Regions from separate parts of the Mus musculus genome. Here region 1 is reported to be linked to region 2. Evidence: microRNA targets listed by miRTarBase, many of them from high-throughput screens and not tested one by one. Region 2 holds a microRNA gene; the other region holds the end of a gene's coding sequence.

The links. Region 2 holds the annotated microRNA mmu-miR-128-3p (UCACAGUGAACCGGUCUCUUU, at 4,861-4,881, opposite strand). A microRNA usually pairs through its seed, bases 2 to 8, with sites in the 3' UTR of a target mRNA and lowers its output. Matches are read on the target gene's strand: a 7mer-m8 pairs with bases 2 to 8, a 7mer-A1 pairs with bases 2 to 7 and ends in A, and an 8mer does both.
Region 1: miRTarBase lists Cmtm7 as a target of mmu-miR-128-3p. Seed matches in the 3' UTR shown: 7mer-m8 at 7,381-7,387.

The regions. Positions count from the first base shown.
Region 1 is chr9:114,749,511-114,757,576 of GRCm38, forward strand. Cmtm7 (CKLF-like MARVEL transmembrane domain containing 7) reads right to left here. Exons shown (of 5, transcript NM_133978.2): 5 at 7,326-7,781. The coding sequence ends at 7,768. Among named protein-coding and RNA genes, the nearest start is that of Gm9888, 14 kb to the right of the region's middle.
Region 2 is chr1:128,198,598-128,207,284 of GRCm38, reverse strand. It overlaps Mir128-1 (microRNA 128-1), which reads right to left and starts at 4,924; the gene lies at 4,855-4,924. The region is part of intron 19 of R3hdm1 (R3H domain containing 1); the gene reads right to left.

The sequences.
Region 1 (8,066 bases), not on the chromosome of region 2:
AGTCTCCAATGCCATCACTTAGGGCTGAAGCAGGAAGGTCACCAGCTTAAAGCCAACCTGGTTTACATAGCAGGGAAAATACTGTAAGAGCTAGCTGTGGTGGAGGCAGATCTGTGTAAGTTTAAGGCCAGCCTGGGCTACAGAGTGAGTTCCAGGTCAGCCAAATAAATAAATGAAAACAAAAATATACTTTTTAGGGAATCCCATGGCATGAATTATAGAAGAATACTAGACATCGGGTGGTTTTAAATCCCTCCCCCCCTTTTCTTTCCTCTTCCTTTCGCCTCTCTCTCCTTTCCCTTCTGTTCTGACACAGGGTCTCATGTAGCCCAGGCTGGCTCCAAACTCACTCTGTCGATGAGGATGACACTGACCTCCAGGTCCATCTGTACTTGCTTCCCAGATTCTGGGGTCACAGCTGCATGTCACCTCCACCTAAATCATTGTAAGAATGAAGTTTTGGACTCTGCTTAACACCCTAGATGTGGCTCCTGTGCTGTGGACAGATAGAGGCATCTGTTTGGGACAGCTCAATCACTGGACAGTGCGAAGCAGAGCCAGGGCGTCGTTGTGCTAAAGCAGAACTATTTGTGGAGTTTGTAAAATTCCTGCCTCCAGTCCCTAGAGAATAACAGGATCTTTATAGTTAGTCCTCAGAAATTCACTGGGATTTGTACATTCTTCAGGTTTTTTGTTTGTTTGTTTTTTGTTGATAAAAAACATTGTATCAATATGCAGCCAGCTGCAAAGAGCAGAAGACCTAAAGCAGGGAATGCCGACAGTAAAGCATTCCTGGTGGCGGGCGGCCTGTGAGGCTGGGGCAGGGGGATCGCTAATGCCCACCCATTTTCTGCTGAGACTTCTGTCCACAGAGTTGAGACTTTACAGTCACAGGACTGTCCAGAGGTGAGGAAGGGTTGTTGATTCTCCAGAGTTCCCCATGAGCCCTTAGTGGGTTTGACTCATTTTGCAGGTGAGTTCAAGGTTGCGCTTGCTGACTGTGATTAATGCACTGTGACTAGAGTAACATAATCTAGACCCCCGTCCCCACGCCACACACGCACACACCAGTATGAAAATACCTGGATTTAAAGCTGCCCTCTACCTATCAAAGTTGGTTTTGCTAACAGAGGAACGGGATCATCATGTGAGACTGAAGACAATGTTGGATGCACTGATTACACCAGGCAATGGTGGCAGACACCATTGATCCCAGTATTTGGGAGGCAGAGGCAGGTGGATCTCTGTGAGTTCAAGGCCAGCCTGGCTTAGACAGCAAAGCCAGGGCTATACAGAGAAACTGCCTTGAACTGCCCAAACCAAAAAGCCCAACCAGCCCCCAGTTTATAAAGCACTTATTATGGTCTGGGAAATGGTCCAGACAATGCTTGCAAAGTTGCAAAGACTTGAGTTTGAACCCCAGAACCTACCTAGAGCCAGGTGTGGTTGCATATGTTGCAATGGGGAGGCAGAGATAGGTGGCTGCCTGGGGTTTTTGACCAGCCAGTGTGGCCTGCCTGGTGAGCTCCAGGCTGATGAGATCTGGCTCCCAGGAAACTCTGGTTTCTTCTGGTCTACACACCCATGTGCTTATGCATGTTCACACATGTGTACTGCACACATGAACGTGTGTGAACACACAATTGTAGTCTTGACCGCTCTGAGATGTCTTTTTTTTTTTTTTAGGCTAAATTATAGTTCTATAAGTAATATGCATCACAGAAACTTTTTAAAATAAAGGCAGCTGTAAAAGGCAGCAAGGATTCTCATTACCCCAACTTATTTATTTATTTATTTATTTATTTACTTATTTACTTATTTATTTATTTATTTTCGAGACAGGGTTTCCCTGTATAGCCCTGGCTGTCCTGGAATTCACTTTGTAGACCAGGCTGGCTTCGAACTCAGAAATCTGCCTGCCTCTGCCTCCCAAGTGCTGGGATTAAAGGCGTGCGCCACCACCGCCCGGCACCCCAACTTATTTTTAATGTTCCTATATGTCTGTGTATGTGCATGTTACAGTGCCTGTTAGAAGTCAGACTTGTGGGAGGCAGGGCTCTTTGTCCACCATGAGGGAGACCCAGGATCCAACTCAGCAAATGCCTTTTTTTTGCTGAACATATTCACCAGCCCTTTAAACAAATTTTTGTGGGGGGCTGGAGAGATGGCTCAATGGTTAGGAGCATTGTCTACTCTTCCAGAGGTCCTGAGTTCAATTCCCAGCAACCACACAAGGTGGCTCACAATCATCTATAATGGGATCTGATGCCCTCTTCTGGCATGCAGGTGTACATGCAGATAGAGCACTCGTGTATAAAATAAAATGTTTATACAGTCCTCAACATTTTGTATTTGTATTTTTTGTTGTTCTTCCTCCCGCCTCTCTCAGCAGGGAACTTCTGATCTTTCTGCTTCCACCTCCCAGTGTTGGAATAACAGACATGTTATATAACCTACGTGGTGGCTCACAACTATCTGTCACTTCAGCTCTAGGGGAGTTGACACCCTAACCTGGCCTCTGTAGGTACCATGTGTGCATGTTTGCACACATGCATGCAAGCAAAACACTCAAACACATAAAATAAAAATAATAAATGTTTTAAAAATAAGGAGATGCCCAACACAGTGGTGTACACTTATAATCCCAGACTGAGAGGCTGAGACAGGAGGATCATTATGAGTTCCAGGGCAGCCTGGGGTACATAGGTACAGAGTAAGACCCTATTTTTTTTCTTTTTTGAGACAGAGTTTGACCCTATATTCCTGGCTGTCCTGGAACTCACTTTGTAGACCAAGCTGGCCTTGCACTCACAGAGATCCACCTTCCTCTGTCTCCCGACTCCCGAGTGTTGGGATTAAAGGACTGTGCCTTTATCTCCACTGAGACCCTATCTTTAAAATAAATTAAGGATGTGGGAGAGAAGGTGTGGCTTGAGGCCAGTAGGGTGACAGGCAAATAAAGCCACCAAGGCTACACGGGGATGTCCCCTGCTGACATATGAACTCATGTGCTCTAGAGTAGAACTAACATAAGAAAAGCAACTGTGTGGTGATCGGTGGTTCCGGAAGTGATGGTGGAAAGAGAAAGATGGGCGCAAGAGACGATAAGCATCATGTGATGGCTAATCTTGGTTGTCAACTCGGCCACATCTGCAATCTACGAGAACCAAAGTATCTGGGCAAGCCTGTGTCCCCTGCAAGCCACTCTAATAAATCCTGTGTGTGTGCGCGTGCTTGAGAGAGAGCTATCTCTCTCGAGAAATTAAGGGGAAAGCTAATCTGAAGGTAGGAAGGGGACGGCCAGGCGTGGGCCAGTGGTTATTGTGTGCCCTGAATGGAAGACTATGACTAATCTGTGCGTCCACAGAAGTGTGCACATCTCTGCTCTACGTCAGAACCTCAGCCTCTGCTCTGGCCGGGCAGGAGTGGCAGTGCGTTCCTCTGGTCGCCAGGGGGCGCGCGCTGCACGAGTGGGCGCAAGTCGGTGGCCTCCACCTAAGGGTGGAGTTTCTGCAACTAGGAAGTAGAGCGCGGTTGGGAGGAGAGGCTGCTGCAGGCATGCACAACTGCGGCAGGGGAGGGAGGCTTCCGCCTGGCGAGGCCGCAGAGGAAACAGCTGGCAGCCCTGCGGGCCTCAGCAGGACTTCCCCGCTTTACCGCCAGGACACGCGCGGGGTCACTTGCCAGTGGGCGAGCCGGCCGGGTGTGCCCCCAGACAGGGCTTGTTTGGTTTCAGCTTCGTTTCTAGGTTTCGTTGGCAACGTTTCCAGATTGGGAGATGCTTAGCTAGAAGGCCCAGATTTCCAATTTTCTGGGTCACTGGGGCAGCTGGCATCAGTGAGCAGCTGGCAGCCCTGGGCCAGCTGCCACCTCCGAAGCGAAGCGCCCAGAAGGCAGGATCTGCCGCAGTTTAGAGAACCCTGACTGATCCGGACAGCGATCATCCTCAGGTGGTAGCCAATCGGTTGTGTGTGTGTGTGTGTGTGTGTGTGTGTGTGTGCGCGCGCATGAGGATATTTTTTATTTTTGCAGTTTTTCTAGATACATAAGAAGACAGTAAAATCTTAGGAACCTACTGACTGTCCTCACCTTCCCAGGAGGTAGTGAGTATTTTCTGAGGGGAAGCCTCTTGGAGCTGGTCACCCAGGCCATTGTAAGGTTAGAAGCATCTTTCATACCGGTTTCTTACAAACTTTTAAAAAAATGTTCAACTATTATTAATATATATATATACACATATATATACATATGTGTATATGTATATATGTATATATATATATATATAGTCTCTCTGTGTTAGTTCTGGAACTCACTTTTTTGGGATCGTGGTGGCTTAAATTTTTGGGTTTTTTGCTTGTTTGTTTTGTTTAATCCCAGCACTTGGGAGGCAGAGGCAAGTGGATCACAGAATTTAAGGCTAGCCTGGTCTACAGAGCTAGTTTCAAAACAGCCAAGGCTACAGAGAAACCCTGTTTCAAAAAGACCAAAACCAAAACAACAAAAGATACCTTAAAATGATTTTTACATTTTTACTTTTTTATTTATTTTATTTTTTTTGAGACAAGGTCTCCCTACGTGTAGCTATGCTAGCTTCAGACTTAGCATCTTCCTGCCTCAGCCTCCAGAATGCAGGAGTTACACAACACTTACCTTTTTGTTTTTAGTAAAGGTTGGTCTATCCTGGCCTGCCCTTGGTTGAATTCCGATCCTCCTGTCTCCACTTCTGCCTTGTTATTATGAACGGACCACCACAGGCTTCTTCACTGAGGGCATGTTTTGCATGCTGGATGAGCACTCTATTAAGTGAATTAAATTTATTTTTTAATAGCAAAAAAAAAAAAATCTTTTCAGGCTGGAGAGATGGTGTAGCAGTTAAGAGCACTGACTGCTCTTCCAGAGGTCTTGAGTTCAATTCCCAGCAACCACAAAGTAGCTCACAACCATCTGCAATATAGATCTGATGCCCTCTTCTGGTGTGTCTGAAGACAGCTACAGCATACTCATATACATAAAATAAATAAATAAATCTTTAAAAAAAAGGGAAAAATCTCTTCAATTCAGTTCATTCTTGAAAGTCTATTCTATAGAACAGGGAATCGGCAAATATCCACAACTAATAACACAAATGACATTTACTTATTGTAAGGCTGGTTGATAAACACAGAGGGGTCTGTGGTTTATACTTATAATCCCAGCATCTGGAACAGGGAGGCAGGAAGATCAGGGGTTTAAGGGCATCCTTGGGTATGTATGGACTTCAAGGCCAGCCTGGGCTATAGAGACTCCATGTCTTACTAGAGAGAGAGAGAGAGAGCAAGAGCCTAGGCTCTTGTGCAGAGAGGTGGCTGCAGCCCTGTTCTCTCCTGTTCCTCTGCAGGCAAGGTTTCAACAGACAGGTCTCACTGTGGTACAGGGAGGCCACACGGAGTCAGCAGCCCTCACAGCCTGGACAGGGAGAGATGCCCACAGCGAGGGTTGCACCATTGCTATTTGCCACTGGTGGCTAGCTGGTCTGTGTGACTGTAAGGTGATAATATCACACTTCTCTCTCATTGAGACTTAATCATTTTACATGTGCGAGTGTTTTTCCTGCAGCCTGTAAATTCATGCAGTGTCTGCTGAGACCAGAGGAGGGCATTGGAGTCCCTGGAAGAAATGAGTTACAGTTGGTTGTGAGCCACCATGTGTGTACTGGCAATGGAGCCAAGTCTCCTGCAGGATCAGTAAACATGATCTGTCTCTCCTGGCTAACACATACTTCATACATGCACTTCCTGTGTATGGCCCTGTTAACACATACTTCATACATGCACTGCATGTCTGTAGTCCCACAATTCCTCCTTAGGTTAATAGGACACGAGTTAGCCACATCCAAAAGAGGGAGGTGGTGGTGTTGCACAGGGGCCTGAAGACCCTAAATGTGTAGAAGTTTGTCCCTTGTGTTAGCAGACACTTTGGACCCCTGGAACAAGCAGATTTTGGGTCTGCTTCCCACCTTTGGTCAACACTGATGAGGGAAGCTAGTGAACTCTGCTGTCCTGTCCAGGCTCAGGAGACGGCCAACCTTGGAGTCAGGTACCAGCAACACATCACTCTCTTGTCCTTCTGGCTTCCTTCTTGGGTCTTGCAGGCCACACTAGTAGTATGTCCAAGCTTGGTGGCTTCCCTAGGGCCTCGAAGCCAGCCGGTTTCCAGAACCTCTCGGAGCCCCACAGAACTCACACTTGTAGCAGAGCTTGCCATCGACCAGGACCTAGTCAGGCCCAGGGACTGTGCTGGCTACAGTGGAGGAGAGGCGGCCCAATTATGGCCCCCTCTTCTCAACCCGGGGGCTGCTGGCCACAGCACAGATGGCCACTACAATCTACTGACTCTACTTTGCCACTACTGTTTCACCTCAGCTTCCCTGCCACGTGCAATGAATGCCTCCCATTGCTTTGAGAATCTAACACTTCTCTCTCTCTCTCTCTCTCTCTCTCTCTCTCTCTCTCTCTCTCTCTCTCTCTCTCTCTCTCTCTCTCTCCCCACCCCAACCCCTGCCCCTTCTAGGGTTTCTTTGTGTAGCCATGGCTGTCCTAGGACTCACTCTGTAGACCAGGCTGGCCTCCCAGTGTGCGCCTGAAAATCACCCCAGATCCCACGTCCTAACTGGAAGGGAATTTAAGGCCCAGGATATAAAAATCAGAGCTGGATATGGTGACACAGCTAGGATCCCAGGGAGGGACATGGAGGTTGAAGGATCAGGAGTTCAGAGGTCACTTTTGCCTACAAAGCAAGTTCAAGGGCCGGGCATGGTGGCACATGCCTTTAATCCCAACACTTGGGAGGCAGAGGCAGGTGGATTTCTGAGTTCGAGGCCAGCCTGGTCTACAAAGTGAGTTCCAGGACAGCCAGGGCTACAGAGAGAAACCCTGTCTCGAAAAACAAACAAACAAACAAACAAACAAACAAAAAAGCAAGTTCAAGGCCAACCCAAAACTATGTAAGATGGGAAGCTTGTGTGTGTGTATGTGTGTGTGTGTGTGTGTGTGTGTGTGTGTGTGTGTGTGTGACTGGGGGATGGGATGTCAGCTTAGTAGGGTGGTTGCCTAATATGTATGGAGGAAATTCATCCCCAGCACCACACAAAACTGGGTGTCCTAGCACACACTTCTAATCTTAGTGCTTGGGAGGTAGAGGCAAGAGGATCAGGAGTTCTAGGTCAACCTCAGCTACATAATTTAGTTTGAAGCCAGTCTAGGAGGATGGGCATTTAGCAAGGAGTCCACACTCAAGCTGGCATAGAAAGGCCTAGTGTTAGAGACATCTCATGCAATAAGGAAACCTGCTGCAATTGACATTTTATTAAAAACTATGCACCTCCCCACCCCCACCCCCACCCACAGTGACAAAGGCAGAGATAGGGGCAGGAGACAGGATGGCCACATAGTGTTTCTTCTGGCTCTTCACTTAGAGACGCTTCAAGACCAGATTGACAGGCCAGATAAATTAGGGTCTTCGGCCTCTGTGTGGTCTCGGTCCTGAGGGTATGAAGAAAGGCGTGTCTATGCAGGCAGATCCACAAGTCTCTCTACTGTGCTCAGAGCAGTCCTTGGTACCTGAGTGGTGCTAACAGCCCAGAACGGAGGGATGTCCTCTGCAGCAGACTGTGAAAGGAGGCTGTAGATGCCCAGGAGCCCAGTATCCTGGCAAAGCAGGGAAGGCACAGGCCTTGTCGCCTGAAGAGTCCACAGCCATGGCGAGGGTCCTCCAGAGGCTGTGGCCTCATCAGGCAGATGCATCTTGGGAGAGAAATGGAGAGTTAGGTTATCTTTCTGGGAATAGAACCCACTCAGAAGCCATGGGCTCCAAATTGTGTGTGGGTGTGTGTGTGTGTGTGTGTGTGGTTTTGTTTGATAGGATTGTAAAATGATTGCCTTGACCTGAGGGTCTGCCCACTTCAGCCTCCCACAGTTGAGATCACAAGCATGCACCACAAACCTCGTGTTTTTACAGATTTTAATGAACACAGCATGCATGCATCATTGTGGTGGTGCACACGTGTAAACCTAGAATTTTGAGAAGCT
Region 2 (8,687 bases):
AAAAACCCCTGCTATTATTTTAACATATCTGAAACAAGTGCAATAATCAGGTGCCTTTCAAATAACCTTACTTGATGATAAGACAGATATTCATAGCAGAAAATTTAAAAATTTAATAACTGCAAAACTTTCATCTATAATCACTAATTGCTATTCTATTTGCCTTTAATGCACCTAAATATGATTATACAAGCTATGGGAAGGAAGTGTGTAAATAAATTTTCTTTTTTAAATGAAAAATTTATTTATTTATTTTTAAAATGACAATTTTTTAACCTGAGATTTATTTATGTATATGAGTGTTTTGCTTGAATGTATGTCTATGTACTATGTGCATGAAGTGCCCAAGGAGGTTAGGAGAGGGCATCAAGTCCCACGGAACTAGAAATACAGGCGTTTCTAAGTTTCCATGTGGGTGTAGGAACCGAACCCAGGTTCTCTGAAAGTATTCCTAAGTATTAAGCCATCTTTCCAGTCCCTAAATAACTTTTCTTAAGACCAGATGATTAGGCCAGGTGGTACGTGGATCTCAACACTCAAGAGGTAGAGGCAGGGAGATCCTGGTGCGGCTGAGATCAGCCTCATCTAAAGAGTAAGCTCTAGGCTGGACAAGGTGATACAGTGAGACCTGGTCTCCAAACAAAACAAAACAATACAACACAACATAAAACAAAACATGCTTAGACCTTAAGTTTAACAATTAAAAGATAAGAAAATAACTCAGTTTATCTCTCCCACACTTTAGGAGAACATGTACTGAGAAGCTAAAAAGGCTGAATATTTTAGGACAAACTGTATTCTGGTCTCTAGCATAAAAATTCAAAACTCCTATGCTCTCTCACTTAGAATATCAGGTAAGTATCACTGCCTCAAAGGCATTCCGGGTATTAGCAGCTAACGGTCATCAATTTATTAGATGTCAGCACTGCTCTGTGCACACAAATAACTTATTCCACATTTATAGAGACAATTATTTCGGAAACACAATTATCCTCATTTTTCAGGTGAGGAAACAAAGGCACAGAAAGGTTCATACCTTAGTCCAAGGTCAGAAGCCGGTCAGTGTATAGCTGGGATCTGCATGTAAGTTTTACCTTCCCCAGAGACAACTGTTGACGTGGAATGAGTACTACAGAAATACTCAAATAAGAAGGATCTGTGATCTTTGATTTTCTGAGAGTTTTGGTTAGAGAAGATATCTACTCTAGTGTAACACACCTAATGTTCTAGGTAATTTTAATTGGGGAAAATGTAGAGTTTGTGTTTTTTATTTATTTTTTTTATTTTTTATATTTTTTTAAAAGAAGAAACTATGTAGCCCTAGCTGGCCTCATTATGTAGACAAATCTGCCTTTGCCTGCCTTTGTCTCCTCCCTAAGTGTTGGCATTAAAGGCATGTGCTACCATGTGTGGCAAGAAAACAGAATTATTATAAATGAGGTGAAACAGTCAGCCAACTAACTGTCCATTTGAATTAAAGAATGTTTGTGAGAACAGACATAATTATCAAAAATAGAAATCAACAGGAGTTAGTACCGAAAGCAGCTATATGGACTGCGGAGTTAAAAGCCACCCAGAGTAAGGTTATACAAGCAGTCCACGTGTACTCACTGTTTTCCCCACTCTCTTGGCATGGTTTGTGTATTTCAAAGTTATATGCCTGCTTGACTTATGAGATTAGCTTTCTCAGTAGAAAACTATTAGGAAAGGGAGTAGAAGCCCAAAGCATAAGGAATCTCAGCTGCTCTGGGCCTTGCATCCTGAGTGCTCCCCTTTCAATCTACAGTAGTCTTCTTGAGGATTCAGCTTGGTAGTTTTATTTGAGGTTGCTTTTTGCTTAAAAGAAAGACTCTGTTGCCATATTCTGGTTGAGTCTGTAGAAGATTTTAACAGATGCTGGCTGTCTTCTCCACAATCTCAGACTTACTCAGTGGGGCTAAGTCTGTTTTCATTAGGATACCTCATAAGCAGGGAAGCTGTTTTGCTTCATGTCTTGGGGTTGTCTGAAGCAATAACTTTCCCCCACCACCCACAGAGTTGCTTTCCATTCATTTTAGCATCAAGGGGGAAAACACACCAGGGTTGAACCATACTGGTAGGAGACATCAGGAATCTTTGCAATGGAACCTTTCTAAGACTATCACAACCAAAACCATCAAGAGGGAAATTTTAATGGTATTAGAACAAATATTTGAGTTTTTATTTTTGAAATCATAATGGAACGATTCATTCTTTATTCTAATAATTTTAAAACCCAGGAAATGGCTAATAAGCAATTCTGGATTGTACTTTCTAAAGAGCAAGATATTAAAATATTATTGGACTTTCCATAGTGCAAGGTAACTGTAGGGCCTGCTGTCCAAAGATTATCACACTACAATAAAAAAGAAAGTTAGAAACATGGAAAGCTCTAAAAACATGACAGGGCATAATACTGTATTTCAAACACAGATAAGACTCTTCCTGTCATTAATGAAAACCCTATCATTAATCACTTAGTATCACATGGTATAAGGCATGTCTCACTTTATGTACATCCATTGAATAAAAATAATACTATTTAAAAAGTATTTAAACTGCTTGAAAATTTTTTCTGAACTTCTGTTTAAACAAAGCAATTTTACAGCATTCAGCCTGGGTTGTTAGTAGTATCACCTATGACAAGTGGCTCTGTGATTCAAGTTTCTTATCTAATCCTTCAGACAAGTGGAAATGGTACATAGTTTCAAAAATATAGTGTGAAGATTGCCAAGTATGAGACTGAGGATAAGGAAGGAGAAGTGAATTCCTAGAGAAAGAAAAGTACCATTGGGTTAAAAAAGCGCCACAAGAGCATTTCCAGTATCCTGACACAATAAGCCACCCCTCCCCCAGGACAGCATAAATCATTCCTTATCAAAAGTAGTTTCCGTGTATGAGAGAATTTAAACTTTTAAAATTTTTCTCTGTGACTTATTTAGAAATAACCAGAAAGAGATAAGTGAGTTATCTTTTATTGGAATTTGTCAATCTGGGGGAAAGTATTATTCAAAAAGTAAGGAACAGTAATAAGAGATTTCAAGCAGAATTCACTGACATCCTATTATCAATACGAGTGTTTAACACTCCCATTCTTTGTTAAAGAACTATGCTGCTGCAACATTATCCAACTTCTTCCAGGACTTTCTGAGAGCAGCAACAATTCTGCAACCTGAGAGAGCAAGATCAGTTTGAATTGTTGGCACTACAATAATCCTGGAAGGTTATAAGGAACTTTCTATTTTTAACTCTCAACAGAAGAGAGCAGGAAGGAAAATCAGTGCTCAGTAGAAAAGTGCTAGCTAGACTTACTTTATCATAGGTGACCTGAACTAGCATTTGTGTTAATGGAAAGCATCCTTCAAAACAGATTAGCCATAATCAGATAGACAAACTGAAGAAATGGTTCATCAACATGGCCATCACCAGGATTCTAGGTTTACTTCCTTACCAGTATTAACATCCTTTCTTTAAAGACTGGGTTTGTTGAAAGAAGCACTGTGAAGGGAGTTAAGCCTTTAAAAGGCATTTTTGCTGAATCTAAATTACATATGAACTAGGTGCTCAAATGGAAATTTAGAAGATTATGAAATTTATAAACCAGGTACTATTTGGAGAACAAGCAAGTTCAACCAAAGACTGCTCTCAGTTATACTTGGTAAGAGACAGAGCTGCTAACACAACCTCTCTAGTCTTTCTTCTCTGTCAAGCTTTAACTCAACAGAAATGCCAGGAAAAACCAATCTGAATAAAATGAGCCACAGAGAAGTTACATCTCTTAGTTATTTAAATAACTATCCTAAACAACTCAAGAAAACCTGTAAGTACTTACCAAATACATTTGCTCCATATTTCAGAGGCAGCAGATTAATGGAGAGGGGAAATGGAAATAGGTGGAGTTGTACTTTTTATACAATTTCTGAAATCTATGCTGTTCATGCAACACTGAAAAATGCTCACAGAATCAACAAAAAACTAAGTAAAACCAGGGCTACCACCTAGTAATACAAAGTTCCTATTACATGGTTACAAATTGACAGGAGAGAGATGATCAGTTTTGTTCTTATAAAAATGTAACTCAATCTCTTGTCAATATAATTTACCTCTGCTTACCCATTCTTCTTTGTCTTTCATGTTCTAGTTACTTTTATATGTAACATACAGTATATGTGGTATAGGAGATGGACCCTGTGGCTTCATGCAAAGCACCCTACCAACTGAGTTACACTACCAGCTTTCCTTAATCCCTAGGTCCTTTCTAATCTGTGGCCCGCAATGCTGCCTATATTCTGCATATCACAGATCCTGTTCATTCTGGATAAAATTATATTCAGTTTCACAGAATTATTATGGTTCTCATAGGCACTTAATAGTAACAGTTTAGGGGAAAACTGAACTATGTATCTTGGTAAGGGCCCAAGCAGCTTAAAATGCATGTGGTATCTTTGGTTCATTTGGTCCAGATTTTAATGAATAATTATGCCCCTAAAAAGTTGTATAAAAACAGGGAAAGAGACAAATTTGATGTCTAGTAATGAGTTTGGCATGCTTAAGATGTTAAACTCTGTTAGATAAGATGCAAACCAAATTGAATCTTAAAAAAGCATCCAAATATGCTTTGGAAAAGAAATGAAAGCAACAGATAATTTGAATTTTTAAGGATAAATTGTATGAAGCCAAGGTTGTTACTTAAATTCAAATCCTTATTTCTGAGTATGATGCAAAATTAAAAGGTAATTATAGGCAATGGAAAATATAAACAAATATTAGTATCTTAATATAGCATAGAAAAAAAAAGCAAAAAAGCAAAAAGAAGTAAAAAGAAGTCAGGAAGCAGCTGAAAAAGAGACCGGTTCACTGTGAGAAATGTAAACCTCTCAGACAGTGCTACGGCCCCGAATCCAACAGCTCAGGAAGAAGGCCAATTATTGTAAAATATAAGCACATAAGGAGAAGCTGCAAACTTTTCAAAAGAGTCCAAGAATGAAAGCAGCTACGTATCAAAGAGTCAGGGCCTATAAACCTGTCATTGCTAACGTCACTATTTCTTGGTCCATTTCTTTCAAGTTTTTATAGTGTATGTATTATACTGTATATACTATCCTATACGTATGCTAAGAGTTGAAATAATTAGTTACTAGTATTGCAATTAAGAACTAGCAGATTTTTTGAAATAGCTGCTTGCATGACTGCAGTTATTAACAGTAAGACACTAAGGTATTTTAAGTCAATTCTGATATTCACCTTTCTAAACCAGAAATGACTTAAAAAAAAAAAAAAAGACACAGAATCTTTCCATTTTGGAGTCCACAAAGGCTAGACAATATAACAACACAACCTAATTCTGTGAGTGATCAAACTCAAAGTCCCAGGCATTAACTAACAGAACTAATATTAGTTTAAAAAATGCCTGTGGGGGCAGGAGAGATGGCTCAGTTAAGAGCACTGGCTGATCCTGCAGGAGGGCCTAGGTTCAATTCCCAGCATCCACTGCAGGCTCACAACTGTGTGTGATTTCAGTCTCAGAGGACTCATCCTCTACCAGCCTCCTTGGGCAATGTATGTATGTAATGCACAGACACACAAGAAGGCAAAACATCTATACACACAAACTATAATAAATAAAATGAAATAAAATAAATTAAAGGTTAAAAAAAGGAAGAAAAAAAAACCATAGGTCACTGGGATTCTGATTTACAGTCTGCCGTTCTTTCACATTACACACTGTATTGTCTGGAAAGCTTCATACAGTCAGGACTTCCATAAATGTGTTTTACATGTGCTGACTTCATCTTATTTTGAATGACCACAGTCAGTGAGTTTACATTCACCACACAAGACTAAGACAAGACTCCCCTATGCTAATACTGCTCCACTGGGCTCCCACAGTATAAGGGAATTTATTGTCAAGGAGATCAATACACTGGCAAAGATATGGTTACAACACTAAAGCATTTTATCTGAAAAGAATTTCTCAAAGTTTCTTCTACAAGGAGGAAAATAACAGAAAATCATTTATTTTTATTGTCTATACAAAACGTGGTCTCAGAATTGACTCAGATGAGTTTGTTAATTTAGGGAAAATGTTCTTTAAATTCATATATAAGCATTTAAGTCTTAGTAATGCCATGCTAAAATACTTTGGTGCAATTTTTCATTATTTGGCTGAATAATTAGCTCCATTTTTTTTCATGAAATCAAAGAGAATAACAAGCTTTGTGAGCTCCTTTTGGGTATGAAGGCATGGTGGATAAGAGCCAAAAAACAGTGATCAATAAAGTTTACATTTTAGTTAGTTGTAATGGTTAAACATAAGAAAATATATTAAGACATAAACTATGTTTACATATGAAAATTGGGGCAGAAATCAGTAAACAGAGAAACAATAACAACAACAACAAAAACCCAGAAATTACCTAATCTTCTAGTTCTTTGTTCTAATATTACGATTTAGTTATATATTTTTTTTAAGTCTTAGTATAAAAAAACTTAGCAAACTATAGTCTTAAGATTCAGTTTTGCTTAAAAGAGTTCAAATTCCCACCAGTTCTATAAAAAGGCTAGTACAATTACCTACACATAACTGCTTCTGCTTATTGAAAATTTCCATAAAGGTAATGTTTCTATTTCTATATATTCTTTCTATACTTACAAGCATAACAGAATATTTGAGGATTTTCTTCTTATTCTTCAAACAGAATGAGGCAAAACTAACAACTTAAGCTAGCTACTACTAGGCAAATACAAAAAATAAATAAAAGCTCAAGCTCTCATCACAGTGATTTATTATACCTGACACCTAGGAGTCAGATAATGTCACAAACTATTGAAGATAGGTTGACCTTTTCTGCACTTGTGCTGTCCAGATGCAGGTTGGCTTACTGTGTTCTTCTCTTTTGTCTTAACTAACACCTGAAAATCCACACTTAAACTAACACAAATGATAGATAGTGATACTTTCTACCACATAGATATGTCTATTTGGCATTAAAAAAAAAATTTTTTTTTTAATTAAGTGGGGATAACTGTGTGGAGAGATGCAACTGAATTAAGTACTACAGTCCCAACAGGTGACTAAGTTTTTATTTTATAAACTGATTATGGTAAGAAATACATTTTTACCTCAGAAAGAAGATAAAACTAAAAGCTTTCATAAATACACAGCAGAGGACCTTTGCTGCCTATTAACAGGGTTTGATAACACAGAGAGTCATATAAAAAGTACTTAAATAAATGGCATGAGAGTCAACTTACTTTAAAAAAATTATTCATTTGTTATATGAGTACACTGCAGCTGTCTTCAGACAGACAGTGGAACAGGGCATCAGATCTCACTACACATGGGTGTGAGCCACCGTGTGGGTGCTGGGAATTGAACTAAGGCAGAGCAGCCAGTGTTCTTAACCACTGAGCCATCTCTCCAGCCCCAACTTACTTTTTTCTATTGAAGTTTTTTTGATTTTTTTAAAGGTATTTTATGTGCATAAGTGTTGTAGAAGCCTACATGTAGGTTTGGTGTCTGTGGAGTCAGGTGAGTGCTTTGGATTCCCTGGAACTGGAGTTACAGATGTTTGTGAGCCACATGTGGGTGTTAGGAATTGAACCAGGGTCCTCTACAAGAGCAAGTGCTCTTAAGCTCTAAGCCATTGCTCCAGTACTCAATTTACTTTTTATAAAATTAGTGAGCTATCACAGGAAGGGATGTTGCCAGGCAGCAAATGCCTGCTGAGCATAGACAAAGACTGGAGTCTAATACCCAGGACCACAGGGGGAAAAACCATAAATAAAAACAAATCACATCAGATGTTATAATTTTAGAAGGCAAAACAAAAAAGATATACACTACGAAAAGTCAATTATTTTCAGGCCCAAGAAAGCACAGAAAAAATGCTTTCTTTACTATTATTTTTTAAGGTTTTTGTTTTAATTTTGACATATGGTGCTGTTATACAGCCCAAGTGTACCTTAACCCTGCTGTGATCTTCCTAACCTCAGCCCACATAGCGCTAGCATAGGCATATGTCACTGGTCCCAGCTAGAATATCATTTTTATTAGAATAATACAATTGTCTATGTGACCTTAAATGAGCAATAGTATGATCAATGTTCATGAGCAATCTCATTTTTATAAAAACCTTTTATAAAAAGTTATAATTATAAGATACGAGTGCGAGAGTTTACATGATGTGTCATAGAACACATGACAACTTTGTGGGGCTGGTCCTTTCCCCTCTACCTTTACAGAAGTCCAGGAATCAAATTCAGGCTGTCAGGCTTGCGCAGTAAGCATCTTTACCTGCTGAGACAACTAGCAAGCTAGCAACAACTTTGATATCTTCTTAACTTAAAATATAAACTGTTTATATTCTTTGACATGGGCCATATTACTAGGCTTCAGGCAAATCTGACATTAAAAGGAGTCATATTTGAGACAAAAAAAATTATAGTTTAGCTAAAATGATCAGAAGATGCCAAAGCATGTAGGAAAATACCTGTTGCATGTGTAATGTAGGGCTAGTGAACAGAAAAAGGAGCCCAACCACTAAGAACAGAAAACTTTCAGGTATAGCAGGTTAAGGACACAAAAGTTTGGATGTGGAGCTGTGCTAATTATGACTCTTATCTGCAATGGGAGTTGTTGACTACACTGTACAAGAAGCAAGAAGTGA